4 linked regions of the Arabidopsis thaliana genome follow. The protein of the gene in region 3 interacts with the protein of the main gene of each other region in a biochemical or structural test. Each region holds a gene or a part of one and is shown on either strand. Other genes may lie near its edges. The genes, in order: VCS, XI-I, DCP1 and DCP5.

What was found.
Region 1: the proteins of DCP1 (region 3) and VCS form a complex in vitro, tested with the Arabidopsis thaliana proteins (one study listed by BioGRID).
Region 2: the proteins of DCP1 (region 3) and XI-I form a complex in vitro, tested with the Arabidopsis thaliana proteins (one study listed by BioGRID).
Region 4: the proteins of DCP1 (region 3) and DCP5 form a complex in vitro, tested with the Arabidopsis thaliana proteins (one study listed by BioGRID).

Annotation. Positions count from the first base shown.
Region 1 is NC_003074.8:4,301,640-4,310,928, forward strand, and holds VCS (Transducin/WD40 repeat-like superfamily protein), read left to right. Parts: upstream 1-2,185; 5' UTR 2,186-2,445; coding exon 2,446-3,159; intron 3,160-3,251; coding exon 3,252-3,301; intron 3,302-3,455; coding exon 3,456-3,612; intron 3,613-3,700; coding exon 3,701-3,919; intron 3,920-4,239; coding exon 4,240-4,368; intron 4,369-4,516; coding exon 4,517-6,040; intron 6,041-6,281; coding exon 6,282-6,641; intron 6,642-6,723; coding exon 6,724-6,843; intron 6,844-6,971; coding exon 6,972-7,142; intron 7,143-7,236; coding exon 7,237-7,401; coding exon of another isoform or gene 7,402-7,497; exon of another isoform or gene 7,498-7,789; coding exon 7,790-7,915; intron 7,916-8,010; coding exon 8,011-8,310; 3' UTR 8,311-8,636; downstream 8,637-9,289. Other genes in the region: VCR (varicose-like protein), read left to right, coding at 1-34, 116-235, 431-601, 705-854, 958-1,083, 1,175-1,474; AT3G13310 (Chaperone DnaJ-domain superfamily protein), read right to left, coding at 9,188-9,289.
Region 2 is NC_003075.7:16,010,326-16,016,623, reverse strand, and holds the start of XI-I (myosin), read left to right. Parts: upstream 1-1,654; 5' UTR 1,655-1,831; coding exon 1,832-1,975; intron 1,976-2,088; coding exon 2,089-2,235; intron 2,236-3,095; coding exon 3,096-3,241; intron 3,242-3,336; coding exon 3,337-3,493; intron 3,494-3,674; coding exon 3,675-3,733; intron 3,734-3,974; coding exon 3,975-4,131; intron 4,132-4,280; coding exon 4,281-4,430; intron 4,431-4,520; coding exon 4,521-4,657; intron 4,658-4,748; coding exon 4,749-4,895; intron 4,896-4,989; coding exon 4,990-5,091; intron 5,092-5,226; coding exon 5,227-5,284; intron 5,285-5,367; coding exon 5,368-5,469; intron 5,470-6,186; coding exon 6,187-6,224; intron 6,225-6,298. Other genes in the region: SLOMO (F-box family protein), read left to right, coding at 1-116, 213-276, 383-469, 567-653. UniProt on the Arabidopsis thaliana protein: Myosin heavy chain that is required for the cell cycle-regulated transport of various organelles and proteins for their segregation.
Region 3 is NC_003070.9:2,635,166-2,641,882, reverse strand, and holds DCP1 (decapping 1), read right to left. Parts: upstream 3,847-6,717; 5' UTR 3,529-3,846; coding exon 3,370-3,528; intron 3,290-3,369; coding exon 3,249-3,289; intron 3,162-3,248; coding exon 3,112-3,161; intron 2,977-3,111; coding exon 2,832-2,976; intron 2,631-2,831; coding exon 2,574-2,630; intron 2,423-2,573; coding exon 2,308-2,422; intron 2,118-2,307; coding exon 1,638-2,117; intron 1,573-1,637; coding exon 1,516-1,572; 3' UTR 1,220-1,515; downstream 1-1,219. Other genes in the region: PSAO (photosystem I subunit O), read left to right, coding at 144-222, 319-391, 609-879; AT1G08360 (Ribosomal protein L1p/L10e family), read right to left, coding at 4,189-4,448, 4,631-4,796, 5,016-5,235, 5,648-5,652; AT1G08350 (Endomembrane protein 70 protein family), read left to right, coding at 6,278-6,423, 6,634-6,674.
Region 4 is NC_003070.9:9,023,288-9,030,782, reverse strand, and holds DCP5 (decapping 5), read left to right. Parts: upstream 1-2,827; 5' UTR 2,828-3,226; coding exon 3,227-3,377; intron 3,378-3,681; coding exon 3,682-3,782; intron 3,783-3,861; coding exon 3,862-3,936; intron 3,937-4,026; coding exon 4,027-4,986; intron 4,987-5,158; coding exon of another isoform or gene 5,159-5,178; intron 5,179-5,271; coding exon 5,272-5,343; intron 5,344-5,471; coding exon 5,472-5,645; intron 5,646-5,725; coding exon 5,726-5,836; intron 5,837-5,975; coding exon 5,976-6,167; 3' UTR 6,168-6,442; downstream 6,443-7,495. Other genes in the region: ICME-LIKE1 (alpha/beta-Hydrolases superfamily protein), read left to right, coding at 1-19, 117-186, 302-382, 483-557, 686-787, 876-1,016, 1,389-1,454, 1,564-1,707 and 2 more; AT1G26100 (Cytochrome b561/ferric reductase transmembrane protein family), read left to right, coding at 6,702-6,824, 6,918-6,969, 7,101-7,297. UniProt on the Arabidopsis thaliana protein: As a component of the decapping complex, involved in the degradation of mRNAs. Promotes P-body formation. Translational repressor.

The sequences.
Region 1 (9,289 bases), on a different chromosome or scaffold from region 3:
AACTGTATCTTCTGCAATCACAGAGTCCTTCCAGGTTAGTAATTTAAGAGAAATTTAGAGCTGATTTATGAGAAGGTCCATTGATGAAAAAGAAAACTGATTTCTCTTTATACAGAGAGGAATTGGTGACAAAGCAGTCAATCAGCTTGAAAAATCTGTTAATTCAAAGCTTGAAACAACCGTAGCCAGGCAGATTCAAGCCCAATTTCAGACATCTGGCAGACAAGTCCTGCAGGTAAAAATTCGAGTTTAAACTAGTTTTTTTATGCCTTACTGTCTCTTGTATATATATTTTTTATGCTTTTCAGACAGTTATGACTGATTGACTGGTTATATATACAAGTCTTGTGCATACATTCTCAACTGCATCGTTGTTTATCGTAAAAGCAGTTGTCTCTTATATATATTTGCTGCCATTTGTCAACTTCAGGAAGGTCTTAGGTCAAGTATGGAGTCCTCAGTCATACCTTCCTTTGAGAGGTCATGCAAAACCATGTTTGAGCAAGTAGACTCAACCTTACAGAAAGGAATTGGTAAGCACACGAGCGCAACACAGCAACGGATTGACTCTGGACAATCTCAGCTTGCTCATACTCTGAGGGTATGATAGAAAATCGTCCTTCTTCCAGATTTTTTGGCTCTTTCTTCTAGTTATGGTAGCAAAATCCTTTTTTAATCCTCATGTTAAACATGCTTTTATACAGGAAACCATTAGTTCTGCATCATCAGTTACTCAAGCCCTAAATCGTGAATTAGCCGAGAGTCAAAGGAATCGCTTAGCTCTCACAGCTGCTGGATCAAATCCCTTGGTTACTCAACTAAGTAACGGGCCTTTAGGTGCTCTTCTTGAAAAGGTTTGCACATCTCTGGATCAAATTTCTTACCATGAATATTTTGTCATTTTCTGCGTGTTTGACATGTATATACGTTAACTGCAATGCATCATTGTTGTTTCAGGTTGAAGCACCTATGGACCCAACAACAGAGCTATCAAGGTTGATATCTGAACGCAAGTACGAAGAATCTTTCACATCAGCTCTACAAAGAAGCGATGTCTCTATAGTATCATGGCTTTGCTCACAGGTGAATTCTTTTTTGGATTTCCTGCATCATAAGATCTCATAACCATCAGTTTTGCGTAACATCCCATGACACTGGTGTTGTGCCAATTCAGGTGGATCTTCGTGGACTACTGGCGATGAATCCGCTTCCGCTGAGCCAAGGTGTGCTTCTTTCACTGCTGCAGCAGTTAGCTTGTGACATAAGCACGGACACATCCCGTAAGCTAGGTTGGATGACTGATGTGGTTACAGCCATAAACCCATCAGATCAGATGATAGCGGTCCATGCTCGCCCAATCTTTGAACAAGTTTATCAGATTTTGCACCATCACCGTAACGCACCAGGCAGCGACGTCTCTGCCGTCAGACTAATAATGCACGTCATCAACTCTTTACTTATGAGCTGCAAATGACATCTCGCTCTCTCTGTTTCTTCTTGTTAGTTACATGCATAAAACATAGGAAACCTCTCTTCTCTGTATTTCTCTCTCTACTCTAGTTAGATTTTTTTTGGTTACCCATTAGTTCAATTTCCTTTAACTGTAAACATCTGGTTGGTTCTACGTCTATAATGTTCCCTTTTTCTTCTCCGAGAGAATGAGTTTGCTAGGATCTGGAAAACCCTGAGAAAACATGAAGATCATGTATGGGCAGGGTATACTGATTTTCTAATGAAATTGGTTTTGAAGTAACTACAAGTTACCTGCAGAATAGACAGATGAGTTTGAAGACATTATGGGAATCTGGTGTGGCAGTAAGCAGAGAATTTGTCAAAATTGAGCAATTGCAATAAAAAATCTTTTTCTTTACTTTTGAGTTCAGTTGATCAGTTTTTGGATTGAAGGGTATTTGCTGTTGGGTTCGGTTGCCTTTACTTGCATGTGAGCTCAGCTGACCATGAATTCAGAATCCTTGTCATCTTCTTCTCTTTTGTTGGAGGTTCCGATGAAGAGCAAGAAGTTGGAAACAAATGATGGGTGAATCTCTGGAAATGTAAATAGGGCCCAATAATTGAAATTAAAGGCCCAAACGAGTAAAATCTGAAAATTGTTTTACAGAAGCGGTCTCATATTTTAGATATAAACACGATCATCACCCCAAAACTTTTCGTGATCTGGGACATGCCCAATTTAATATTTTCATTAAAGAAGAAGAAAAAATAGCTAAGTCTCCAAAAGTTCTCTACCTGTTCTCACTTTCAAGTCATCATCGTCTCTCTCTCTCTATTGTTGCTCTCTCTCTCGCTTTTTATGTGACTTTCAGATCCGCCGAGTCTTCTTTTTGTGGAATCTTTTCAAGGAGCTCAGTATTCTATATACACCTCTCTTTGTTTGATCGATTTCACAAACCCTAGCTTCGGCGATCTTAAATCTGCAAAAAATCTATGGCGTCTTCTCCTGGTAATACTAACCCTCACAATACTCCTCCGTTTGATCTCGGTATTCTCTTCAAACCTTCATCCAATCCTTATCCGCCACCGGCGGCATCTTATCCTCCGCCTACAGGTCCTTTTCTTCACAACCAGTACGATCAGCAGCACTACGCTCCGCCTGGTATCTCCGCTCAACCATCTCCGGTGACTCAGCAGCAACAGGATGTGTCTTCCTCTTCCGCCGCGACTAACTTGCATCCTCAGAGAACGCTGTCTTATCCCACGCCACCTCTCAATCTACAATCCCCCCGTTCCAATCACAATCCCGGTACGCACATCCTCGCTCTCCTTAACAATACCAACAACGGAGCCCCCGTGGCTAACCAAGAGCCGTCGCATCAGCTCCCAGTAGTCAATCACAACGAGATCGCTCGCTCTTTTCCCGGCGGTTCAGGTCCTATTCGTGTACCGAGCTGTAAATTGCCCAAGGGAAGGCGATTGATTGGTGAACACGCTGTGTACGATGTTGATGTGAGATTACAAGGTGAGATTCAGCCGCAGCTGGAGGTGACTCCGATTACCAAATACGGGTCGGATCCTCAGCTCGTAGTGGGTAGGCAAATCGCCGTGAATAAGGTTTACATTTGCTATGGATTGAAAGGAGGAAACATTAGGGTTCTCAATATCAACACAGCATTGAGGTCTCTGTTCCGTGGCCATTCACAGGTTCATTTACTTTTTCTCTGTAATTTGTGAATTACTTACTTATTCAAGTATAGTAGGTACTCATCTAGTTCTAACTACGGTTATATATCCAGAGAGTGACGGATATGGCTTTCTTTGCCGAGGATGTTGATATGTTGGCCAGGTAATGTTTTGGAACTGTCGTCTAATTAGGCTATGCTATTTGTACATATATGGAAGAGTGGCTCATTGAATTCTTCTTTGTTTATTAGAGTTTTTCTGGTTAGCTTCTTCGACTTTGTGGTTTATACCTCTATTTTTCTGTTTCTTTTAAACAGTGTTAGCCTAGATGGAAAAGTTTTTGTGTGGAAAATTTCTGAAGGGTCTGAGGGAGAGGATCAGCCCCAAATAACTGGGAAGATAGTACTTGCTCTTCAGATACTAGGAGAGGAAGACACCAAACATCCACGCGTTTGTTGGCACTGCCACAAACAGGTAGTTGAACATATTTCTTTTGCTACGAGAAGTTGCATAAGATTCTTCTTAGAACAAGCTTCTGATTGCTTAAATGTCATTTTTTCAGGAAATTTTGGTAGTTTCAATTGGTAAACATGTACTGCGTATTGATACTACAAAAGTTGGCAGAGGTGAAGTATTCTCTGCTGAGGCTCCTCTCCAGTGTCCCCTTGATAAGCTGATCGATGGTGTTCAGATTGTTGGTAAGCATGATGGAGAAGTGACAGATTTGTCAATGTGCCAATGGATGACCACGCGTCTGGTTTCTTCTTCAGTTGATGGCACGGTTTGTGTTTGTTCATATCATCCCTTTTCTTTAAACCTCTCTGAAATGAATCATTCCAAACAACCCAAGTTTATACTGATTACGTTGCAAACTGGGTCTAATCCTGACATTTTTCGTAATTAGAACTAGCCAGCCTTGTTAGTAAGTGCATTTGACATCCAATTACTATTCTAGCACATTTTGAATTTTTTAAGGTTTGCTAAGTTCCATTTCTGACATGCACTGGGTATCATCTCTTTTCAACCAGGAATTATTTTGCAACAGCTAGTATTTCTGTGTGTGTGAGTCTTACTCTTTCTTTCCTTATAACCATCGTACAGATTAAGATATGGCAAGATCGTAAGGCACAACCACTTGTAGTTTTGAGGCCTCATGATGGACATCCAGTCAGTTCAGCCACGTTTGTGACATCTCCTGAGAGACCTGATCACATCATACTTATCACGGGGGTAGTTTTCTTGAATCAATACTACTGACTTTTCTCAGCTCTATCTAATCTCATTTGGCTTTGCTGTGTTGTGTTTACATTTTATACTTGTAGCTTTCGTTTCTGCTAAGTTGCTAACTCTGTCAGTGTTGGCAATGTTCCTCTCATAGGGTCCTCTAAATCGAGAAATGAAAATCTGGGTCTCTGCTGGGGAAGAAGGGTGGCTTTTACCAGCTGATGCTGAATCATGGAGGTGTACCCAGACTCTTGACTTGAAAAGTTCAACCGAGCCACGAGCTGAAGAGGCATTTTTTAACCAAGTCATAGCATTATCTGAAGCAGGCTTGCTTTTACTTGCAAATGCAAAAAGGAACGCCTTATATGCTGTGCATTTGGACTATGGTTCTTCTCCAGTTGGTACGCGGATGGATTACCTATCAGAGTTTACAGTCACTATGCCCATATTGAGTTTCATTGGGACAAATGATCCTCCAGAAGAACCCATTGTTAAGGTTTATTGTGTTCAGACTCTAGCAATCCAGCAGTATACATTAGACTTGTGCTTATGCTTGCCACCACCTATAGAAAATATGGGTTTGGAGAAGTCAGATTCTAGTGTATCACGAGAGGCAAATCTTGTTGAAGGCATGTCAGAACCATCTGGACTTAAACCTACTGACTTACCTTCAGTTGATTCAGTGCCAAAACCTTCGATTATAGTGAATAGATCAGAAAGTGCTAATAAGTTGAGTTTTCCATCAGCGGAAGCCACATCACAAGCAATTGTTCCACCCAACGGTGAACCTAAAACTTCTGGCCTGCCATCTCAAACCAGTGGTGCAGGTTCTGCGTATGCTACTTTACCCCAACTTCCTCTCAGTCCCAGACTATCAAGTAAACTTTCTGGCTATCACACTCCTGTAGAGGCGATTGAGCCAGTAATACCTCATCATGAGCTTGGTGGCAAAACACCTTCTGCTGATTACTCTGTTGATAGGCAAATGGATGCTGTTGGAGAAAGAAATTTGGACGTGTCATCCGTAGAAGAAATCTCAAGAAGCAAGGACTCAAATGTTACGCCTGATGATGATGTGTCTGGGATGCGAAGCCCATCAGCTTTTTTCAAACACCCCACTCATCTTGTAACTCCTTCAGAGATATTGATGGGCGTTTCTTCCGCTGAAGCCTCCATTACTACTGAAGACAGGAGAGATAGGGATGCAAATATTCAGGACGTGAATAATGATCCAAGAGACACCGAAGTAGAGGTGAAAGAAATAAGTGAAGCAAGGTCAACACAGAATGGTGAAATCAATGATCATGACGAAACTGAGAATTGCACTTCAGAAAATAGAGAAAAAGTCTTCTGCTCACAGGTTTCAAATCTCAGCACTGAGATGGCAAGAGACTGTTATCCTAGTACTGAGGGAACTTTCATTCCAGGGGAATCTAAGGCATATGGACAACCTATAAAGGCTGGAGATGAAAGTGGTGTTGACTCGAGAGGTGGGCCTGCAAAGCTTCTTAAAGGAAAGAAGCAGAAGGCCAAAAATTCACAGGGTCCCGGTTTGTCATCTACATCCTCAAATGTTGCTAATCTGGCTGACTCCTTCAATGAGCAAAGTCAGAGTTTAAGTCATCCCATGACAGATTTACTTCCTCAGTTGTTAGCAATGCAAGAAACGATGAATCAGGTGACATATTTGGTCTAGAAGAAACTAATTAGAACCCTATTTCTTAACAAAATCTGTTATTATACTCTTGCATCATTTCACTGACACACTACTAAACTTGTTGTTACCTTGATTTTGCACATAGGAGTTCCAATCTTACATTCGTTTTAAATAAATAACTTACATTTATCGATGATAAGTTATTGCTTGGTAATTTTGTTGTTCTTTTATTTGTTGACCTGAAACATTATTTCCTTTCCAGGTGATGGCTTCGCAGAAGGAGATGCAGAGACAACTATCAAATGCTGCCACTGGCCCTATCGGAAAAGAAAGTAAAAGACTAGAAGTTGCGTTAGGGAGAATGATTGAGAAATCCAGCAAGTCAAATGCTGATGCTCTATGGGCCCGCATCCAGGAGGAGACTGTTAAGAATGAAAAGGCATTACGTGACCATGCCCAGCAAATTGTGAATGCAACGACAAACTTCATGAGCAAGGAGTTAAATGCCATGTTTGAGAAAACGATAAAGAAAGAATTGGCTGCAATTGGTCCAGCCCTAGCACGTTCAGTAGTACCAGTTATTGAAAAAACTGTATCTTCTGCAATCACAGAGTCCTTTCAGGTAAGATTTTACGAGAAATTTAGAGCTAATTTTTGAGAAGGTTCATTGTTCTTAAAAGAAAGCTGCTTTCTCTTTTGTACAGAGAGGAATAGGTGACAAAGCAGTTAATCAGCTTGACAAATCTGTTAATATAAAGCTTGAAGCAACCGTAGCTAGGCAAATTCAAGCCCAATTTCAGACCTCTGGCAAGCAAGCCCTCCAGGTAAACTTGAGGTTCACCTAGCTTTGTGGTAGTTTATAGAAGTGTCTATAAGTCTCCAACTGCATACATAGTTTAACGGAAAGGGAGTTTATCTCTTATATATATTTCCTGCCGTTTATAAACTTCAGGAAGGTCTTAGGTCAAGTGTGGAGTCCTCAGTCATACCTTCCTTTGAGAAGGCATGCAAGGCCATGTTTGACCAAATAGACTCAGCCTTCCAGAAAGGTATTGCTGAGCATACAAATGCAGCCCAGCAACGGTTTGACTCTGGACACTCCCAGCTTGCTCATACTCTAAAGGTACGATGGAAAATCATTCTTCTTACAGCTCTGTTATGGTTGCAAAATCCAATCATTTCTTTCTTCTCTCTAAAGCTGCTTGCTCGTTTTACAGGAATCAATTACTTCTGCGTCGTCAGTTGCTCAAGCCTTAAGTCGTGAGTTAGCCGAGACCCAAAGGAATCTCTTAGCTCTCGCAGCTGCTGGAGCAAATTCTGGTGGGTCTAATTCCTTGGTTACTCAACTAAGTGGCGGACCTTTGGGTGCTCTTCTTGAAAAGGTTTGCACATCTCTGGAACTAATCACTAACCATAAATCTTGTTTTTGTTTAGTGCATGAGCATTTTAGTTACTCTTGGTGGCTTTTCGCTGCTTAGCAATCATAGTTGAGGCGGTTAACTAGAGAAGAGAACTAACAGCTTAGAAGGAAGTTTAGGCAGAAGAATTGAGCATTCTGGATTGGTCTAGGATCTGCCTTGGGCTTAGGAGAGTTTATGGTGCTCACCCCTAGGGTTCTCTATCTTTGGTTCTTGGCTTAAGTTTATTCTCTGTTCATCTTTTGTAATTGAGTCAGAGAGCATATAATTAGAGAACCATTTCTGCTCTTATCCGAATCCTAATCTGATGTCATTTTCTGAGTTTTGACTATCGCAACATATGTCCTTTCAGGTTGAAGCACCTATGGACCCAACAACAGAACTATCGAGGTTGATATCTGAACGGAAGTACGAAGAATCTTTCACTTCGGCCCTACAGAGAAGCGATGTCTCTATAGTATCATGGCTTTGCTCACAGGTGAAATTTTTGTTTGGATTTTGTGCATCATAAGATCTCATACATAACCCATCAGTTATACATAAGATCCCATGAGATTGATTGTGCCAATACAGGTGGATCTACGTGGATTACTGGCGATGAATCCGCTTCCACTGAGCCAAGGCGTGCTTCTTTCACTGCTGCAGCAGCTAGCCTGTGACATTAGCAAGGACACATCCCGTAAGCTGGCTTGGATGACTGATGTGGTTGCAGCCATAAACCCATCAGACCAGATGATTGCGGTCCACGCTCGGCCAATCTTTGAACAGGTATATCAGATTCTGCACCATCACCGCAACGCACCGGGAAGCGATGTCTCAGCCATCAGACTGATAATGCACGTGATCAACTCCATGCTTATGGGTTGCAAATGATATCTCTTATCTCGTTCTCTCTTCTTGTTCGTTGCTTATATAAAACATAGGAATACAACAATCACTACTCTTCTCTGTATCTCTCTACATTTGTTAGATTTTTGTTTCATTTTTGGTTTGAATTTTGTTTTTCTTGTTTTTTCCATCCTTCTTTTAAATGTAAAATCTGGTTGTTTTATATACGTTTACTATTCACTCTTCTTCACAAGAATATCTTATGTGTAAAAGCCAAATCAATGTTTGGATTAAAGCAGTAACTTTACCAATGTATTTGCTTTAGATTCTTCACAGGTTGTTTGTAACTATTTTATTTCTTCTTGTTGTCTTTGTCAACTACAGTATCTTTAAAACACAGGCTCGTACACTATTTTTTTTTTTTGTGTAGAGAAACAAATTTGATAAAATATTTAATGAACAGTGTCATCATTATTAGTTATGGATTTGAACAAAAAGTTGTTTATAACAGATTAAAGAGAAAATATTACTTGGTTTACTAAAACAAACAGTACCAAAATTAGGAAATAGTGAGTGTGTTCTTTCGAATTGCCAATAGTTTTAAATATCTCAAGATCAAATAAAATGATTTCTTACTTGGTCTACTTGTTTCGTGTATATTTGAAAAGTAGAGCAAAAGATGCGATAAAAGAAGAAAAATTATAAAGGAGAAAACTAAAATCATATACATTTCTCTACTCATAACTTCTTTATACATTGTTAACTGCTTAAGTTAAAAGAAAAACAAAAAAAAAGAGCGGATTAAACTTAATTTCCCCTTAATTTTCCAAAGATATGACAAGGAAAAAAAAAAACGTAATCAAAGGGGAAAGTAAGTCAAAAAGTGCCCTTTCGCTGCTGCAAAATCATAGGAAGCCTAAAATCACCAACACTGATCCGTCTCCCATCTCCGGGTCGTAGCGTAAACCCGCCCCGACCGACCCATCGCTCCGGCGTGTACCCGTCTCCGTGGTACTCTAAGCGT
Region 2 (6,298 bases), on a different chromosome or scaffold from region 3:
GTGCTGATACCACCTGCAGCTCGCTTTTACCATTTATCAACACTGAACCTTTCGTTATCGGTCAATCTGAAGGAGGTTGATCTCACCTGTTCCAACCTGGTTTTACTTAATTTAAGGTTTGAGCTTTTGCATTTGCTAGATAACTTATATTCTTTATCTTCCATGAAATGAGTGGTCTTATTCTATTGCTAATTCCATTTCGAATTGTCTAGCAACTGTTGCTCTCTGGAAGTATTGAAGCTCGGCTGTCCAAGATTAGCTAGTCTCTTTCTTCAGGTATGTTTTTGCTCCGTAACTTTTACCACTAAACACACTTTGGTACCTTAAGCTTGGGTCTATATGTTACCACTAAACACACTTTGGTACCTTTTGTCTTTGGTAGTCTTGTAACATGGACGAAGCAGGAGTTGAAGCGGCTATATCAGGATGCAGCTCACTCGAGACATTGGATCTTCGTTTCTGTCCAAAGGTACTAACAATAAACGAGTGTTAACTTCGATATTGAAAACTTAGCAAGTAATCCATTTTTATGTAACAATTAAAACCTTGTCTTGGTGAATTAACAGATATCCTCGGTGAGCATGTCAAAGTTCCGAACAGTGTGCCCTAGTTTGAAACGCGTTTTCAGCAGTCCAAATCTCTTGCAAGATTAGGGTTTTGCGCCAAATGTTTGATTATATACAACTTTTTCTGCAGATTATAGAAATAATGTGTTGTGTGGTGTGGTGTTTGGGTTGTAAATGGCTCCAAGTCATAAGTTTCAGTAGTGCATATAGGCCTCTGGAGTTTGTACTGTGGCCTTCTTAGGATGCTTGTGTGATGACACAAACCTAAACAACATTAGTACTTTTTTTGTGTACGTGGTTGATGATATTGTTGCTACTGTTATATGTAGATCTTATATTTACCTTATCAATTTACCTTTTAAGCTTTGATCCACATTGACTCACATAACAAAGATAAAAATTAAATAAAACTTTTGGAATAAGTAGGGGGTAAGAAAAATTTAGTATATTTTTTGGAAACTAAAGTCTAAAATATGAATGAAGGAAGAAATCTGGAATGTAAATTTGGACTCATGCGTATTGGATGATAATAATTTGGACTTCTTCTTCCCCCAAACTCTTATTTGGACTCTCATCACCATATATGAAATTACAACAACAATAATCGACAACAAATTTTGGAATATTTTCTCTATAAAAGAGATCTAGTAATTATAATAAATATAAATAAACCTCACTAACTATCGTTTAAGAATGTTATATTCAAATATTGCCTTCTACATTTTTGACTTACTATTTTTAATTTGCTAAATTACTAAAAATAACAAGTTTTTAGCGTCAGTAAATTAACTACACAGTTTGTTTTACTAATGTGAAATCAATTTTGCGAGTAAGGATTAAACCCTATAAATGATTCGAATCAAAGATAATAAACTTGGCATTTACTCCGGAATGTGACGTAAATTTTTATCCCTAAAAACTTCTGTGTTTTTGTTTTGGATCTAGTCTTCTTTTGTTTTTTAATGCAAAATCCGAGAGGGCGGGAAGTAATTGTTGTTGTTGATGCTCTTTTTTTTTTTTGTTGCTTTTGGGAACTTTTTTGGGTAGCGGTTTAAGTAACTTTGAACCTTTAAAAAAAAAAAACTCCACAGTAGTAAAATTTCGCCCCTTCTCTCTCTATCTCCTTAGGGTTTCTCAATTCTTCTTCATTTTGAAATTTGAAAAATTCTCTGGCGCAACCTCACGGACTCTCTTTCTCTCTCTATGACTCTTGCTTCCCCCAATCTAATTCTCTAGGGTTTTCTCGTCGAGCTCTTCACGAGTTCATGAGAAATTGTCTTCCAATGGAATTGAATCTGCGCAAGGGCGACAAGGTTTGGGTCGAAGATAAGGATTTGGCTTGGATTGCTGCTGATGTCCTCGATTCTTTTGATAACAAACTCCATGTTGAAACTTCTACTGGGAAGAAGGTCTGATTAACCGTTATTTCTGCTGAATTAGCTCTGTTTCTTCTTCTTCCTCTTCTTCATGCTTTATTCATGCTAATTTTTGCTGTTGTGCGATTTTTTTTCTGGGGTTTTAGGTTTTTGTTTCCCCGGAAAAGCTATTTCGGAGGGATCCTGACGATGAAGAGCATAATGGAGTGGATGATATGACCAAACTGACATACTTGCACGAAGCTGGTGTTCTTTATAATCTACAGAGGAGATATGCTCTGAATGATATCTATGTGAGTTCTTTTCACTCTTTTTTTCTTTGGTATTGTTTATTGAGAGGTCTTTCTGAGTATATTTGGAGTTTGAATTTTTAGTTTCTATACTTCCGGGGGTACTTTATTGAGTCGGATTTCATTCCGTATGGAAGTTTACTCATTTTCGTAGTGGTATTAGTGTACTCACTGGCCGGAGTTTTCCTCTAGAACGAGTTACTGTTGCTTTTGGAGTTTCTTGTGTATTAATATGTGGTGTAAGACATGTTTCCATGTGAAGTGGATTCAGGTTCTTTATGATGGATGCATCTAGATGTGACCTGATATATTATTTAGCCGAAAAAGATAGATATCGAAGTGAAGAAATTTATTGTGACATAATGCATATATCATTACAGGCATTTACTTGCCTATTTGGTATCTAATCGCACTTCAAACATCTTGTGATCTAACCCTAACTATTGCTTTTTTCAATATTAACAATATTATTGGCGGGAGCGGGATAATCAACCTTGTGTATTCGTAACAACTTTTTGTTAGTTTGTTGGACTGCCCTGTGACTGTGAATTATTTGTAGGTTCAATATTCCTTCTAAAGTTATGGAGAGCTTCTGTTCCGTATTTAGTAGGTGAAAGTATCTATTTTTTAGACAGTTTTGTACTCAGCTGGCTTGCCCTTTTGTAAAACATTTGGTGGCAGCTTGGTGTCTAATTTATTTATGTCCCCATTGAGATGATAATATTTAGTTGGAAGTATTGGTGGTAATAATTCCTGTATCATTCTTTTTGCCACTCATAACTGTCAGCTTTTTACGCAGTTCCAATAGTAAATCATTCATGACTGCATTATCTTCTTACAAATACGTTCGACTTCTTTTTCAGACATACACTGGAAGCATTCTGATCGCTGTTAATCCATTCAAAAAGCTTCCACATCTCTACAATGGGCACATGATGGAACAGTACATGGGAGCACCATTCGGTGAGCTCAGTCCTCATGTTTTTGCAGTTTCTGATGTTGCATACAGGTGATCCACTCTTTTTTCTCTAATGTTTCTGATTTTTTAAAATCTTACTATCAGTCATGTTAATCTATTAACCATAGTTATTCTTTATAACCCAGAGCAATGATTGACGACAGTCGAAGTCAGTCAATACTTGTTAGCGGTGAAAGTGGAGCTGGAAAAACTGAGACAACCAAACTAATCATGCAGTATCTTACATTTGTTGGGGGACGTGCTACTGACGATGATAGAAGTGTTGAGCAGCAAGTCCTTGAAGTAAGATTTTGGTTATAAAATTTGTGTCTTCTATCTTGTTCAATGAGAAAAAAAGAACTGGATAGATGCCTTTGTTTTCCTCCCCTGGTATTTGTTTGCAGATAAATATTTAGGGGTGATCATGTTTGACTTTCTTTATTTGCGAGTTATCTATTCTAATTTAAGTATTCTTGTTCTGCAGTCAAATCCTCTCTTGGAAGCATTTGGCAATGCAAAAACAGTTAGAAATGATAATTCCAGGTGGGTTATTGATTTTTTTTTTTCTTTCTGTTTATTTTTTCAATGAAAATTGAGAGGTGTATCTTTAATTGCTCTTATGTCATTTGTCAACAAATTTTTCATGATAGTATCCTTAATACCCAGTGATAACAGCACTTTATGATGTTGATATGGTTTTAGTAAACCTTTTGGTTGAAATTTTGTGTGCCTAGCTTTTAGACGAATCTACTGACCAATCTACTGATCTTCTTTTGCTGTTCAGCCGTTTTGGAAAGTTTGTCGAAATCCAGTTTGACACAAATGGTAGAATATCTGGTGCCGCAATCAGAACCTATCTTCTGGAGAGATCACGTGTTGTCCGGATAACAGACCCCGAGAGGAATTATCATTGTTTTTATCAATTGTGCGCTTCGGGGAATGTAATTCTTTTTACAGCTCTATATACATGTCATAAGAGATTGGTTTTGGTTTTCTTATTATCTGATTGAGCTACGCCAGGTTTTTCTCGCTGAGTTTGTCAATTTACCTACGCTAATTACTAATCTGTAAATGTTCTTATTTTGCTTAGGACGCTGAGAAATATAAACTAAGCAACCCTCGTCAATTTCATTATCTAAATCAAAGCAAGACCTATGAATTAGAAGGAGTCAGCAGCGCAGAAGAGTATAAGAATACAAGGAGGGCAATGGATATTGTGGGCATAAGTCAGGATGAGCAGGTATAACGACTTCTAATTGAATTTTCATATGTTTTTCTTCTGCCAGCTTCTGAAATTCCTTGCTTGTTTCCTGCACAAATCATTTATCAGGAAGGGATATTTCGCACACTTGCTGCGATTCTACATCTTGGAAATGTTGAGTTTTCCTCAGGGAGAGAGCACGACTCTTCAGTGGTAAAGGATCCGGAATCTAGACATCATCTGCAGATGGCTGCTGATCTTTTCAAGTACATAAAATTTTCTGATAGTACTCATTTTTAATTATGCATACGAAGAAATAGCTTGTTTATTTTGTTGTATCCATGCAAAATTAATCAGGTGTGATGCAAATCTTTTGCTGGCTTCGCTCTGCACACGTTCAATTCTGACCCGTGAAGGTATCATTATCAAAGCACTTGACCCTAATGCTGCTGTTACTAGCCGGGATACCCTCGCGAAGACTGTTTACGCCCATCTATTTGACTGGTTTGCTTTCGACTTTCTTAATCCTTTCATTTAATGGATGTTTTGTTGATGTACTACACTTATGTTTGAACTATTCGTTTTATGCTTCTGTCAGGCTGGTTGATAAGATCAATAAGTCTGTTGGGCAAGATCCAGAATCTCGTTTTCAAATAGGAGTCCTGGACATTTATGGCTTTGAATGTTTTAAGAATAACAGGTTAGCGATGATCCATGGAACTAATTAAATGATAGTTCTTTCCTTTCTCAGCCCCAATTCTTTGTTAGTTATATATGGTGCACTATGTTTAGCTGTGAACTGTGTAAACTTTATCTGGGCTGATTCATTCTGCAGTTTTGAACAATTTTGCATCAACTTTGCAAATGAAAAGCTGCAGCAACATTTCAACGAGGTAATATAGGGAACTCATTTTCAAATGTTTTGCCAGATTTAGTATATTGCTTCCTCTCCTTATGGTCTCTGGTCTGTTTTCAGCATGTATTCAAGATGGAGCAGGATGAGTACAGAAAAGAAGAAATTAATTGGAGTTATATCGAGTTTATTGACAACCAAGATGTCTTGGACCTTATTGAGAAGGTACGTTTCTCTCTATTTTAATTAGATTAAGATTTTAGATCCTGTTCTGTTCTACTTTCTTGCCCCTTCGCCTTTTGTGATCTTTGAAACTTGCAACAGCTTAAATTGTATCAGACCTTTAACATGGGATTTTGATCATGGTGTCAATATATCATGTCGTTTTATTTATTTATTATAGTTTTACTTAGATTGTCGAGTAAAGAGTTCACCACCCTTTAAACAGGGGATTTGTTGAATCATGTCAACTCAAAAAAATTCGAGCGGTTCAATGTTAATTTTTCTCCTGTGACATTACTCAACTCCATAGTTTTGAAATTAACGGTATCACTAATGTTACATTGTACTGTGTCATACGTTGGGCTGGTTAATGTAGCCAATACATTTACCGTGTCTAAAGTTACTCAAGCTGCCATTGCTATTCCCATGATAGAATATGGATGATAAAGGTCCCAGTCTATAAATGCAAGAATGATAGAATTTTGTGAAAGACATTTCCCTTTTTGGTCAATGGTTTTATTGCATTCTGGTATGGTAGACTTTGATAACAGAGATAACATAGAATAGTGTATCTTCTTTTCAAGTTTTCTATTGTAGTTGCCAGCCTCAAGAATTGTGTCCTTTTTTTAATGTTTTTGCTTTGTTATAATCAAGCAGACATGACAGTAAAATTGATCTATCTTCTTCTAATTCTACTATTATTATTTTTGCTGTCTGCAGAAGCCTATTGGGGTGATTGCACTCTTAGATGAAGCTTGGTACAATATTCCTGTCTCATCTTGTTTGTCCACATACGTGTATTTTCTTCGCTCGCTGACTTATATTTGTTTGC
Region 3 (6,717 bases):
GTGTCACAAAGCTATTGATTGATAACACATCCTCGAAATCTCTCTCTTTGTCCACAGAATAAAAATCTATTTCTTGTGTTTGTGTTGTATTTACTTAAAAAAATAAAGGAGATCAGTTTGGGAGAAAGCAGCAAAGAAGAAAAATGGCAGCAACATTTGCAACACCATCGACGGTGATAGGCCTCGGAGGATCATCCATCACCACCAAACCCTTCTCTTCATGTACTCTTTTTCTCTCTTTCTCTTTTCGAATAATTTCAATCAAACATATATATGCATATGATAATCTTGATTTGTGATTTCTCGTATGTTTTTTAGCCTTTTTAAAACCAACATTAAGCGCCAAGAACCCTTTGAGACTCGCCGGTGCATCGGGAGGAAGAGTCACTTGGTAGGTTACTCTTTATTTTCTTCTCATAGTAATAACAAAGATATCACATTTTATGAAAATGCTTAAAACTCCAGAAGTATCACTAGTTATGTTACTTAAGATATAGGAATGAGTCCTAACTGATCTTAGGAACTTAATAAAGCTTGTTTTAATTTTGAGGTGCTTTTTAGGGTATTTTCTAATAAATTTATTTGTTTGTGTCAAAAATGAATTAAAGCTTTGAGAGGAACTGGTTGAGGAGAGATTTGAACGTGGTAGGATTTGGGCTGATCGGATGGCTAGCTCCGTCGAGCATTCCAGCGATAAATGGGAAGAGCCTGACGGGTCTCTTCTTCGATAGCATCGGAACTGAGCTCGCTCACTTCCCGACTCCTCCAGCTCTCACTTCACAGTTCTGGTTGTGGTTGGTTACGTGGCACTTAGGCCTCTTCCTCTGCCTCACTTTCGGACAAATCGGATTCAAGGGCAGGACTGAAGATTACTTCTAAGGATAACTATTCTTGTTTTCGTTTGTACTATATGCTCTCTCTTGGTTATGTGTAATATTATCAATCAAAACAAAGCTTTCTTTGCTATTTGATGTTTCATTCTATATCTCGACAAGTCTTTCTTATATGATCTTGATTTTAAGAATGTCTGTCAGTCTAACTAAAGTATTAAATGTTAAAAGCGTTTCTCGAGGGAAAGCTCACAAAAGATTGGGATAATACTTCAAAACGAAACATCACAATACGTCTTTGACTTGAACCATACAAACAGTTTTTGTCTTGCAATCTCGAATCTTTTAAAAAATAGAAAAATTATCTCTCTTTCTTCTTACTCTTTCATGTTTTTTGTATTAATCTTGATGTGTATATGTTCCAATAAACTCTAAACATGCATGAAGATTTGTGAATCTAAAGTCTTTAACATGTCTTTCGACTACGAAACAAAAATTGATGAGGAAAGGTAAAAACTTGAAAGTAGATAAAATGAAAAAGTAATTCCAAGAGTTAAACAAAGGGGGCAGTGCAGTATCTTATAAGGTTCCAACAACACTTTCAGAGGGAACAAAACTACATTTTAACTACACATTCTAGATCAAACAGCCACTATCCCACACGTAGATGCTGACCAGCGCAGCTTCATTGTTGAAGTGCATTTTGTAAAGTTCGGGTAATCTTGTCAATGAATTCATCCTCCTGTCAAAAGCAACTCGTTAGGTTTGCACAGCAGCTCAAATAAAGTGATGTGGTAAAGGACGAACCTGCAACAGGGATAAAAGGGCTTCCTTCACTTTGTCTCTGCTGATAACCGGACCAGTGGGTGCAGGAGCGAGTGATGGTGGTGGAGTTGGGGGTGGGAAAGGCTGGAGCACCGGAGTACCATATGACCGCTGCTGGTGACTCGCATTATTAGGATTGAGAGGAGGAGCAGTGGGCATAGATACACCAGGAATGAGGTGTGGCTGTGCCATCATTCGTGGGGGGCCAAAGAAAGACGGCGTCACCAAATCTGTGTGAATGTTGGAGTTGCTGCTGATAACTTCAGGGTTGTTGTCAAAGAGAGTCATCAGAGGAGAGGAGGATTGTAGAGGCGGTGGTGATTGTATCTGTGGAGGTGCTGCTGCCGCTACAGGAGGAGCAATGGTGGGTTGGTGAGGCTGGTGAGGTTGGTGAGGAATCGCTGATGATTGGTAAGGTCCACTTGCTGACCCACTCGCAGTGTTCCCAAGATTCATCGTTGACTGTCAACAATTTAGATAAATTCAGTGTTACAATTTGAGGAGTCTAAGTTGGACCATATACTACGCTGAAGATAATTCAAGAACCTAGAAGGCTAGAACTAATAGAAAGCCCTCCTGCCATTAGTCGTATAAGATGCTGTCATGGTGAAGATGATAGTGTGAGTGTGTAACAGAAGCTTTAGAAACTTACGCTAAAGAAGTTGACAAAAGCAGGATCATCAGGGGCATCCCTAGCAGTTGATGATGGTTCAAGAGGACCATCCATAACTGCCATTGTAGGCTTAGCTTCCAATTCCTCAAACTCACTGCAGTACATAGAAAATCTAACTTAATTTAACAAGTAAGAGATATAACAGCGGGAAAAATGATTTAGATTATCAAGTTTCCACCTCAAAGAAAACACATCCAAGAAACAACTAATGGTGTACTAACTAAATCTAATCATGAAAATATTACCTCTTTGAAGATGAGGCCTTTGGCTTCTGGTTAACCTTGGAATATGCACTGAGTATTCTGTCATGCCAAGGAACCATTAGGCAGAGATACAACGAGTAAGAGTAATTTCAAGTTCATACAAATATACAAGAACATTATATTTGCCAACAAGTAACTGTCTGATAATAGGCAAATAAAAGACGATATTGATATTATTCATGATCCAACAATTGAAACCAACAGTTTCTACCTGATATGCAGTGACTTATATATACATACCTGTTGAAAAGAGTTGCTACCTCCTCGCATTCACGTTTATTGTAGAACCAAATGCCATTTACTTCTTGAGATGCATTACGGTAAAGTAAATATGGACCTTGTACTTCATACTCAAAATCTCCCAGGAGATTCTCCACCAGATTATCTATCCAGACAAATACAGCAACACACTGATGATTACTAATACTGAATCCTTAAATAAGAACTTGCAATATATTACTAAATCTAAACCTTTTCTAGACACATGACACACACCAACTTTATTTGAATAAATCCTGACCTGTATTACGACGATTCATCACAATAAACTGAAATCGAGGTTGTGTACTTCTGAAAGAAACAAAAAAAAGGATCCAATCAGATTTGAGAAGACGATTAAAGATAAGATACACATAGTTAAAGATCGAAAGTAGTAACCTTTTGACAACAAACAAAGATCCTTCAACGTCCTTACGACTCTGAATGACAAAAGACAGATCAATCATTAGGTAGGGAAGCAAACATCAAATTATGTAATCGAAGATTGATTGAGACTAACCCATTGGCTGAGCTCAATGTTGAATTCATAGAAAGTGACATGAGCGGCTGTGATGAGGATTTCCTCGATGTATGGATCGATCCGCTGGAGAACTGTGAGATTGAGGAGCCTCGTACTGTTTTGGTCCAGATTTGGGATTATCTTCCCGTTTTGAGACATCTTTTATAAATCAAAGATCAGAATTTTGGGAAATCTGGATTCGATTTTACCCTAATCGGAAGAACCCTAGAATTCTGATTTAAGGTAGCTGAGAGATTTGGGGACGGAGACGAAAACGCTAACTTTTGGAACGCACTTCGCTATTTTGTTGTCTGCTTTGGCAAAAAAAAATGGTAATTTAGTTATAAAACTTAAGAGAATAAATATACTGACCATAAAAGCATTAGAGTTTGCTTCAAAAATACATCATTAGAGCTTGCTTAAGAGATTATAAACAACATTAAAGAAGAATATTTATTCAATTGGAGTATAATCAGTGGGTTGATCCTTTTAATTCAAAGATCAATTACTGCATAGTCAATAGAATTTGGTTATGGAACAGTCCACGAGGACAATTTTCAAATTGAAAACGAAAATTTCTGTTTTTATTCACATCTGTGGATTGATTCGTCTTTGAAATAAGCACATCTAATTCAAAGATAATATAAGCTACAAAATCCATTAACCAAAATCACTGCAGTTATTTCAAATTATCCAAACCAAAAGCTAAAGAGGAGAGTAGCAGCACAACTCTTACACTGTTTAACAGATATGTCTGAAACAAAAACGAAAGGGTAAGAAGAAGTGTCTTATAGCCACCAATTTTAAGTAGGTGAAAGCTCAGAAGATTCTTTGTGGTGGTCCCATTGTGCTCTTGAGGTACAAACACCTGACATTTTGCCAGTTCTTCTTCAATAGCGAGACGAGGAAGTTGACGCTCATCTGCACATTCTGAAAGATCTGCTTCTCTTCCATTGAAAGGTTACCAACTGCAACTCCCATGCACAGAACCTTCTTCAGCTGGAACTTCACTGTTGCCTTTGTTTCATTCACCTTTGACTCCAAGGATTCCTGGTGGCTCACAAGAGTTGGGAATTTTCCTGTGTAAAGTAAAGCAAAGGAATGTTACTTAAGAATCATCAAAGAAGCATAATCTCACAGGATAAAGGATTGGCATTGTATCAAAAAGACATTGACAAAAGAAATAGACTACTAAAACCTATCCAAAATCAAAACGGATGTAAAGAAGAACAATGGAATATTAGCTGTAGCCAGAACTTGCCTGCCTTGTTAAGACCAGGACCAAGAAGACGAGGAATCTGCTTAATGACAGACTCAGAGGCCAAGAAAGCATGGTATTTCTTTGCAAGCTTCTTGACGAGTTTCTTGTTCTTGTTAAGCTTTTTTAGAGACTCAACATCCATGTTTTCCAACCCCATCTTCTCAGCCTACGAAAAGATACAAGATGAAATAAGCAAATATTTAATTATGCAAGAAATGAAGCCTAAATAAACAATGACCAAATTCCGAAAACATCATGCATCTACATTCAGAAGACATATACAACATCAAATGAAACTAATAGAGCCACCAAATGAAATGAGCACAAAACCATTATACAAGAAACAGAGCACAAAATGATCAATTTCCATGAAAAGATATATCACCTCTTCAACATGCTGGGCATCTCCGAGCATGCAGATCTTCATTTTAGGACGGGGGATATGTGGTAACTTGACAGATCCACTGAAACGCTTGTCCTTTTGAGGGTCATAGTTCTTCAGACCGATCTGGAGCTCAATAGTCTCGACAAAGTTACGTTTCTTTGCCTCGGATTTCCCTGTGATAGTAGTGATGGCTTCACGAACGGCCTCACTCTGAAGCTTACTGTATTAACCCACAAAGAACAGAGTTAAGCAAATTAACTAAACAAACAAAAATACACAACATTGACAACCTCAACATGAACAACCCACATTATAGACACTACCATACAAAATAATCTTATCTTAATACACCTAAATTTTTATGAGGCAAGATTTAGATTTGTCATCCAAATTTAGAGGCCTTAGTAAAGAGCATTTATGCAAAACTGCAGAACAACTTCGTGTCAATCCTAGACTATTAACATCATAAAGCTATCAATAACGCACATCCAAAAAACAATCACGATTCAGAGACGTATTGTTCTCTAATTAAACTTATTGCATATGACAGAAGAACAATACGTCTCTGAATCACGATTCAGAGACGTATTGTTCTCTAATTAAACAGTGAATGTAAGAGATGCGTCAAGTACCTCATTTTGAGCTTGTCTCAATTTAGCTAAGATCTGATCCTGGAAACGAAACAAAGACAACAAAAAAAAGAATCAAAATCTATAGCAGAAGCTCGAGAAACAAGAATAATCTAATGTACAGTATACATATAAACGAAGAAGAAGAATCAAGCTAGAAGTGAAGCAGTCGTTGAGGCACAAACCTGAGTGACGAGACAGACAGAAGAAACCCTAAATTTCTCGAAAGGCGAAGCCTTTATAGTAAGGATAATGATCAAATAAACTAAACCTAAATGAAATTGGGCCTTTAGAGATAAGGAAAAGCCCAAACTGAAATCAAATGGGCAGCTGAAAACGTGAGACCAACAAAACCAAAAATTACTTGAGCGATCTAACATCCGACTACCGTCTTGGAGACTTTTCTGATGATGGTCTAGTCAAAACCACTCAGTTCGGCTTAAGCCATTCAGGTTTGACTTTGTGCCTCTACGACGTCGTCTTGTGACTTTGTGTTCTCTCTAGCTATGGAATTTTTTTCTTCTTGAGCTGTTGTTAGATTAAGATTTTAGAAGATGACTGCTTCTGGAGCTCTTCTTGTTGCACATATTGATTCGTTTCTTTTGGAACCCAGCAGAAGAAGAGTGCCAATTCATGGCGCAATTTCTGCTTACTGTACTACAAGTCCTACTTGCATTGACCTTCTGGATCGGAATCGGATCAGGCTCGTCGAACCATTATAATGCCGGCGATCATGTCCCTTTGTTCGTCAACAAAGTGGGTCCTCTCCACAATCCGAGGTTGTTCTCAAATTCAAATCTTTTGGTAATTCTTATGCATTTTGCTTTTTATTGGCTTATGATGACGGGTGAGTAATCTAAGAGGAGGAGATCAAGTTAGAGAATGTGTAAGATATGTTTTTGTTCTAGCTTTAGTTTGACCATGGAACTCAAAGATGGCACATTTTCTTAAACCCCATTTTAAAGTTTGGTGTTTTGTTTTGTTTGCAGTGAGACCTATCAATACTATGATTTGCCGTTCTGCCGTCGAGGTTAGGTTTCTCAATGATGTCCTTTTAGTTTTACATTAGGATT
Region 4 (7,495 bases), 6.4 Mb from region 3:
ATGCCAGGCTTTATTCAAGGTTTGTTTGACATCTACTAATTAGGGATCTTTCTCTCTCTTTTTTTGAGATAGTTACTAAAAGTTTCATTGCTAAAGGTTTTGACTTTACTTTGCAGTCGGATACTACTATTTCTTCTCTCCTTACGTTCGCAGAAGTATAGTTTACGGTGATCAACCAAGAAACAGGTCATGATTGTTTACTGCTTATTATTCGTTCTAATCATGTGTAGATTATTGCTCTAGAGACTAGTAGTTGGTTTGTGTTTTGTTTGTTGGTATAAGTGGTTTTTGGTTTCTTCAGGCTTGACTTGTATCTACCTAAGAACTCTACTGGACCAAAACCAGTTGTGGCGTTTGTGACTGGTGGAGCCTGGATTATTGGGTGAGTATGATACCCAATGGACACTATTTTCATTCTAAAGCATTTGAGGACGAGGAGAAAGAACTGCAAATATCTTACAGAATGTCTTGTGTTGATACAGTTATAAGGCGTGGGGTTCTCTCTTAGGACAGCAATTATCAGAAAGAGATATTATTGTGGCATGCATTGATTACAGGTAAGTTATGCGTGCTTTGAGTTTTTTTTCTTTGTTCTGGCACATTGAATGTGGTGGGTTCCTCTCATCCTCCTTCAGTATTCATTTAGAGTTTCTCAATCTCATTGGCAATATCTCCTCTTACACAGGAATTTTCCGCAAGGATCTATTAGTGACATGGTCAAGGATGCTTCTTCTGGCATCTCATTTGTTTGCAATCATATTGCTGAGTATGGAGGTGATCCAGATAGGTACTAGTCCTGTCAACAATTATTAGACATGGAAGTTCTCGAGTTTTAGATTTCTTACTCACTGATTTCTGATCTTTTTGCTGTGTAGGATCTATCTGATGGGTCAGTCTGCTGGTGCACATATCGCAGCTTGCACCATTGTAGAGCAGGTCATTAAAGAGTCAGGGGAGGGGGACAGTGTCTCTTGGAGTAGTTCACAAATAAATGCTTATTTTGGTCTATCTGGAGGGTAAGCAAAATCCTTTCTTTTGGTCTCAGAGTTCAAATGACTAGATTAATAACTTGTTATTTTGGTCTTCCCAGTTATAAGGATAAGACGATACATTGGAATGTAAATTTTTCTGTCAAGAAGTTGAGAAAAACAAGTTTCTTTAATTGCCTGAGTATTTATATATGTGTTAACTCCAGTTTTTATCTAGCCACCAAGGTCTTTTGTAGAAATGCTAGGCAATTCGTAGAACGGTGAAGTAATGGTCAAATATTAGCTCAAAGTAGCAAGTAGATTCCTGCCTTCTACCCAACTAAAGCAACAAATTTTTTGATGAGGCCTCACATCATCTGCTTGGCTATTCTTAACAAACTTTGTGATCGTGATCTACAGATACAACCTTTTGAACCTTGTGGACCACTTCCATAGCAGGGGGCTGTACCGTTCCATCTTTCTGAGGTATAGCATTTTCTCTTTTGGAATCTTGGTATAGCTTACGTTACTCACCTGGCCAGTAGAGCAGCCTGAAATTTTTACAGTTTAACGTGTGACGTTTGATTTTCCTCAGCATCATGGAAGGAGAGGAATCATTAAGGCAGTTCTCTCCTGAATTAGTAGTGCAAAACCCGAATCTCAAACACATCATTGCTCGTCTCCCACCTTTTATTTTATTCCATGGTACTGATGACTACTCCATCCCGTCAGATGCAAGGTATGGTTTAACTTTTGTGTGTATTTGTCTGTCTTATGTATATCAGAAAGTTAAGATGATGATTGAACTTCTATTACACTATCTTTGCAGTAAATCTTTTGCGGAAACCCTCCAGAGGCTTGGGGCCAAAGCAAAAGTGATCCTTTACGAGGGGAAAACACACACGGATTTGTTTCTTCAGGTAAAATGGCCGGTCTTTTTGAGGTATGAATGTCTTGTCGGACAAGAACCTGAATTTTGATCTAGAAACTTGGTTATCTATGTTAGGATCCAATGAGAGGTGGAATAGATGAGATGTTTGAAGATATAGTAACAGTGGTTCTGGGAGACGATCAAGAAGCGATTGGTAAAAGCGTAGATAGAAGGCGTCTTGTACCTGAATTCATGTTGAAGTTGGCTCACTGGGTCAGTCCGTTCTAACTCCTACACTCTTATCTCCCAGAAGATCAAAGGAAGTACATTCCTTCTTCCAGTGATACAGACGGGTCAATGTGCATATTACTTAACAAGGAAAACAGATCCCACTATACTTTGACGATACAGATGATTTTGAACTTTGATGATGATGATATTGTATCCCGGTTTGCAAATACACTGATTATTTCGTCATTGCCTGTTTGTGTTTTTGTAGAACACTGAAAGTGCATTAAAGAAACAAGGCTTCATTGACTTTGTCACCTTAATTAAACTGTCTTTGGTCTTCTTCTTCTCTGATCATTAATCATTGGTTGCACTATTTTCTTGGCATCAGTTGACTTCTCTACCTATATACAAAGTGCCGAACCAGTGTCATTTAACAAGGAAGAAATGTAGGTCTGATTTTTTTTTTAATAATTAAAACTCTCCAAAGGTGTGATTTTCTTGAGAAAAAAAGGTGTGATTTTCTTGACAAAAAAAGGTGTGATTTTCTTAACCCCAATTTTCAACTAAAAATGTAGGTGAAATCACCAAAAATATTTCTCAAAATTCATTTTTTAAAAGGCCTTTTAATTTATGAATAACACTAGATTTGATACTAGGATTAATATGTAAATAATAAGCTCTAACCATCCTACCAAAATAAAATAATAAACTCTAACCAGAGTAAGCAATCAGAACACGAGCCGTGGGATTGGAATGGCTCGAGTAGGCTCGTAGCTACTCGCCTAAACACACCATTGGCGGTGAATTACGAAATAAACCCTTCGCGTGTACACGAGGCATACTTCGGTTAGTGATTAGAGAGAAGTCAATGGAGCCATACTAGGCTATAATGGTCAGATTGATATTATTTTCTGAATTGGGCTTTTATGGGAATGGATAATAAAAAAGAGATGCTCGATCTCCCCAAATTAGAGTAAACCCTAATTGTGTATCTGTAGCTTTCTCTCTCTCTCTCTCTCTCTCTCTCGCGAAGAAGAAGAAGAAGAAGGAGATCAAGGAACTCGAAGTGTGTGTGTGTGTGTTTGCCTTCTCTTGTCTTTTAGTTTTTTCTCTCTTTGGCTGTGATTTCGTCGGCGAAGAGAGACATAGATCGGATATGGCGGCTGATAATACGGGTTCGAAATCGAGCTCCGCTGCGGATTCTTACGTTGGGAGCTTGATTAGTTTGACATCTAAGAGTGAGATCAGATACGAAGGGATCCTTTACAATATTAATACAGATGAATCCAGTATCGGACTTCAAAACGGTACGATCCGTTTCCACTTCCGTTTCGGGATTACCAGATTTGTTAAGTGTTAATTTTGGTGGTGTTTTCTCTCGGATTTGGTAGAAACTAATGGTTTCTTCCGTTAATCGTTAAGAAAGTTTTCTCCAATCTGAACTGTTTAGCTCGATTTGAAAGGAATGTTGTTTTAGTGCTCATGTCTATTACTTGAGTTCTCAAATTGTAATTGATGTCTTGAAACTATTGGTTGAGCATAAAAGATCAGTGTTTAAGTGGTCGATGAGGTAGATTTTGGTTCTGATCCCTGAACTTTTGTTGTGTGTAGTTCGATCATTTGGAACTGAAGGAAGGAAAAAAGATGGTCCACAAGTTCCTCCAAGTGACAAAGTTTACGAGTACATATTGTTCCGTGGAACTGATATCAAGGTATTCAGCAGGATTATGCTAATACTTCTATGTAAGTAGCCTGCCGATTTTGTACTCTGATTGTTCTTGTTGTTGGTAGGATTTGCAAGTCAAAGCTTCTCCACCAGTTCAGCCTCCTGCATCTACTATAAATAATGACCCTGCTATAATTCAGGTGAATGTTAGAAAAGTTGTAAGATTACATTGTCTGGGATTTTGGAGTCAATTGATGTAACCCCATCCTCCACTTGTCTTGGTTTTGCAGTCTCACTACCCTAGCCCGATGCCAACATCTGGTAGCTTGCCTTCTACTGCGAGCGGGTCACTACCTGACATTAGTTCTCATAATGGACAACCTGGACAACATGGAATGGGATTTCAAAACGCAATGCCTTTGTATCAGCCTGGTGGAAATCTTGGTTCATGGGGAGCGTCACCACAACCACCAATGTATTGGCAAGGTTTCTACACCCCACCTCCCAATGGCCTTCCCCAATTGCATCAGCAGTCTCTGATTCGACCCCCTCATGGGCTGCCAATGCCCAACTCTCTTCAGCAACCCCTGCAATATCCTAACTTTAATACCCCTCCTCCACCTACTGGGTCATCATCTTTGCAGGGGTCAAGCTTGCCAGAAGCACCCTCTTCATTGTTTCCTTTTAGTACCAGTTCTCAAATGTTAGCTCCTAGTTCATTGCCTTTCCCTGGTCTACCACCTGTGACGCTCTCGTCTAGCCTGCAGTCTACACTGCAATCAGCACCATCTCCTTCACTAGCTTCAGAGATGGCACCTCCGTTGCTGTCAAACAAAGCTCCTATTACTGCTCCTCCTACCCTACCTCAGGATACTAATTTGCTTTCGTTTTCTCTATCTACTACGAGAGCCACAGAAGCAAGTACTGGCCTTCCACTGTCTAACAAGCCTAGTGTAGTAACTGGTCCAATTTCTCCGCCGCAGACAACACCATTAACATCTGCTCCTGTTGCGGGAGTTTCTAGTTCCATTAGCCAAGATAAGCCAAAACCTTTGTTGGTTACTCCTGGTCAACTGCTGCAGTCTGGATCTTCTGCAGTCTCTTTGTCCCCACCCTCGACAAATGCTGATAAAGATGTTGAGGTGGTTCAAGTATCGTCATCAGCTGGGTTGGAACAATCTGTTCCAGTTACATCCGAAGCCCAACCTCCAATACTGCCATTGCCTTCCTCTGCAAGACCAACTCAGAAGGTTTTTAACTTACATAACATGCCAAATCCTTCAATGTCTCTTATTAATATCATAAAGAACCTTGAATTTGCTGGTGTCTTAGTTAGCTGGAATAAGGTGTAACTGTTATAACTGCACCTGTGGTAATTCCCATTTTAATATTCCATGCTGTGTCTCTTTTGCTTTGTTGAAGATGCATGAAAATCTCTCAGGGTTCTTTGGTGTATAAGATGGTTTCTTTGCATGTCTACTTATAAGTCTTCATGGTGAAATTATTTAAACTCAATTGCTGATTTTTTTTCTCAGCCAAACGGGCATTCTTTCCCAAATCATAATGGTTACAGGGGACGTGGAAGAGGACGAGGAAGAGGAGCAGGGGTACTATTCTTCTCACTCATTTGTAGAATGTGACGGCATTTATTTGTTTTTACCAAGGAAAAGATCTACCAGTTTAAAATAGCTCATGAACTTTAGCCATGTATGCTAATAATTCTTCTTGTTGGCAGAGATCACACCAAGTAATGAAATTCACTGAAGATTTTGATTTCACAGCAATGAACGAAAAGTTCAATAAGGATGAAGTATGGGGTCATCTTGGGAAGAGTACTACCTTAGATGGTGATGAAGATGATGATTCCCCGACTGTAGATGAGGCTGAGCTTCCTAAGATCGAGGCCAAAGTAAGTGAAGTAGACTTATAATCAAGTAAAGCCACCATATTCTCCCTCTCTGGTCTCATCCACATTGTTTATTGATGTAGCCTGTTTACAACAAAGATGACTTTTTCGATAGCCTATCATCAAACACCATTGACCGAGAGTCCCAAAATTCAAGGCCTAGGTTCTCAGAGCAACGGAAACTAGATACTGAGGTACAATCTATATATTTCCACACTCTGAATAGCAAGCAGACTGGACAGAGTTTGTCCCCCCTCGTTGCTGGAGATACTCGAATTCCCAGAATCGTAAGAGAATCCCATTGACTAACAGAACGTATTGCTATGATTTCAGACATTTGGTGAATTCTCGAGATTCCGAGGAGGTCGAGGAGGGCGTGGTGGTTATGGACGAAACAACGGTTACTCACGTGGTGGTTATGGAGGGCGTGGTTATGGCGGTTATGGTGGCCGTGGCGGCGGCGGCGGTGGCTACGGGTATGGTGGACGTGGCCAGGGGAGAGGCGTATCAAATCGTACTACCTAAACTGTTCTGCTAGAAAGGGCTCTAAAGACTCAAAATCCAATGGGAGCTCAGCTCTTGAGTGCTTTTGGTATGTGGCAATAAAACAAAAACCGAGTCCCGTGTAATGTTTTCTGTTATAAAACCCCACTTGTGTGGTTTTGGAGTGTATTAATTTGATTTCTGATCTTTGTTTTTAAGACTTGGTAATAGCGTCGTTCTTCTTATATCCAATGTTATTTTGAACTTTTGTATACTCGACATTTGGTGTGAAATGCATTTTCTATTTACTCTCAATAGCTTGTTGCTGTTTACTGTTGGTAGCTTCTTGTCTAAATTTCAAAAGTCAAACATTTTGACTTTCAATACAGTACCAGCAGCCTTGAATCAAATGGGCCTTATTAAGAGATAGAGAGGTCTTCTTTATACAAGATCCATAAAATGTCCTCTCTATTTCTCAAATTATCATTTTGTCGGCAACTCTAGTGTCTGAGAGACTGTAGTCACTGTACTCTACAGTAGCACTACTTACTCAACTTTTGAAGAGAGAAAACAGAAATGGGAAGTGTAGATCCTTCAAGACTATCATTGGTCTTGTTTGCGAGACTGTCCGGTTTAGTAGTCGCAGTTTCGGTTCTGTACTGGGCTCTCTTCCTGCCTAATCTAGGACTCAGCTACTCTGTAACTATCACACTCCCTTCCTCGTTGATATCAAATTGGATCTCTCTCTCTCTCTCTCTTTCTCTCTCTAATAAAGTTTTTATACCCTTGTAGACTCTTCATCCTCTGCTGATGGTGATTGGCTTCATTCTTGTAAGTGGAGAAGGTAGTGATGATCCCTCCTCATGCCCCTTTTGAAGATTTCCTCTCTCTCTCTCTCTCTCTCTCTCTCTCTCTCTCTCTCTCTCTCTCTCTTTCTTGAATATTTTATCAAGAACTTGGGGTTTTGATCTGCAGCGATTCTGATACACAGATGGTTGCCTGGTTCAAGGAAAACAAAGAAAGCTGTTCATTTATGGCTACAAGGAATGGCATTGGCCTCTGCAGTGTTTGGGATTTGGACAAAGTTCCATTACCAACGTGGAGTTTTCGCCAATTTCTACAGTCTCCATTCTTGGATGGGTTTGCTCTCTGTTTCTCTCTTCGCTGCCCAGGTTCGTCTTTTTCCTCTTTCCACCACCAACCAATATTATTTTTATCTCTATATTATACTAGCACTAAGCCTCTGAGATAAAGTTTTAATGCATCATCGAAAAAGAACTAGATGCTTTCCAAGATTTAAATTATTTCAAAAGGTCGGATTACACGTTACTGTCTTTATGATTTCTCTCTCTTTAGAAAATGTTTTCTCA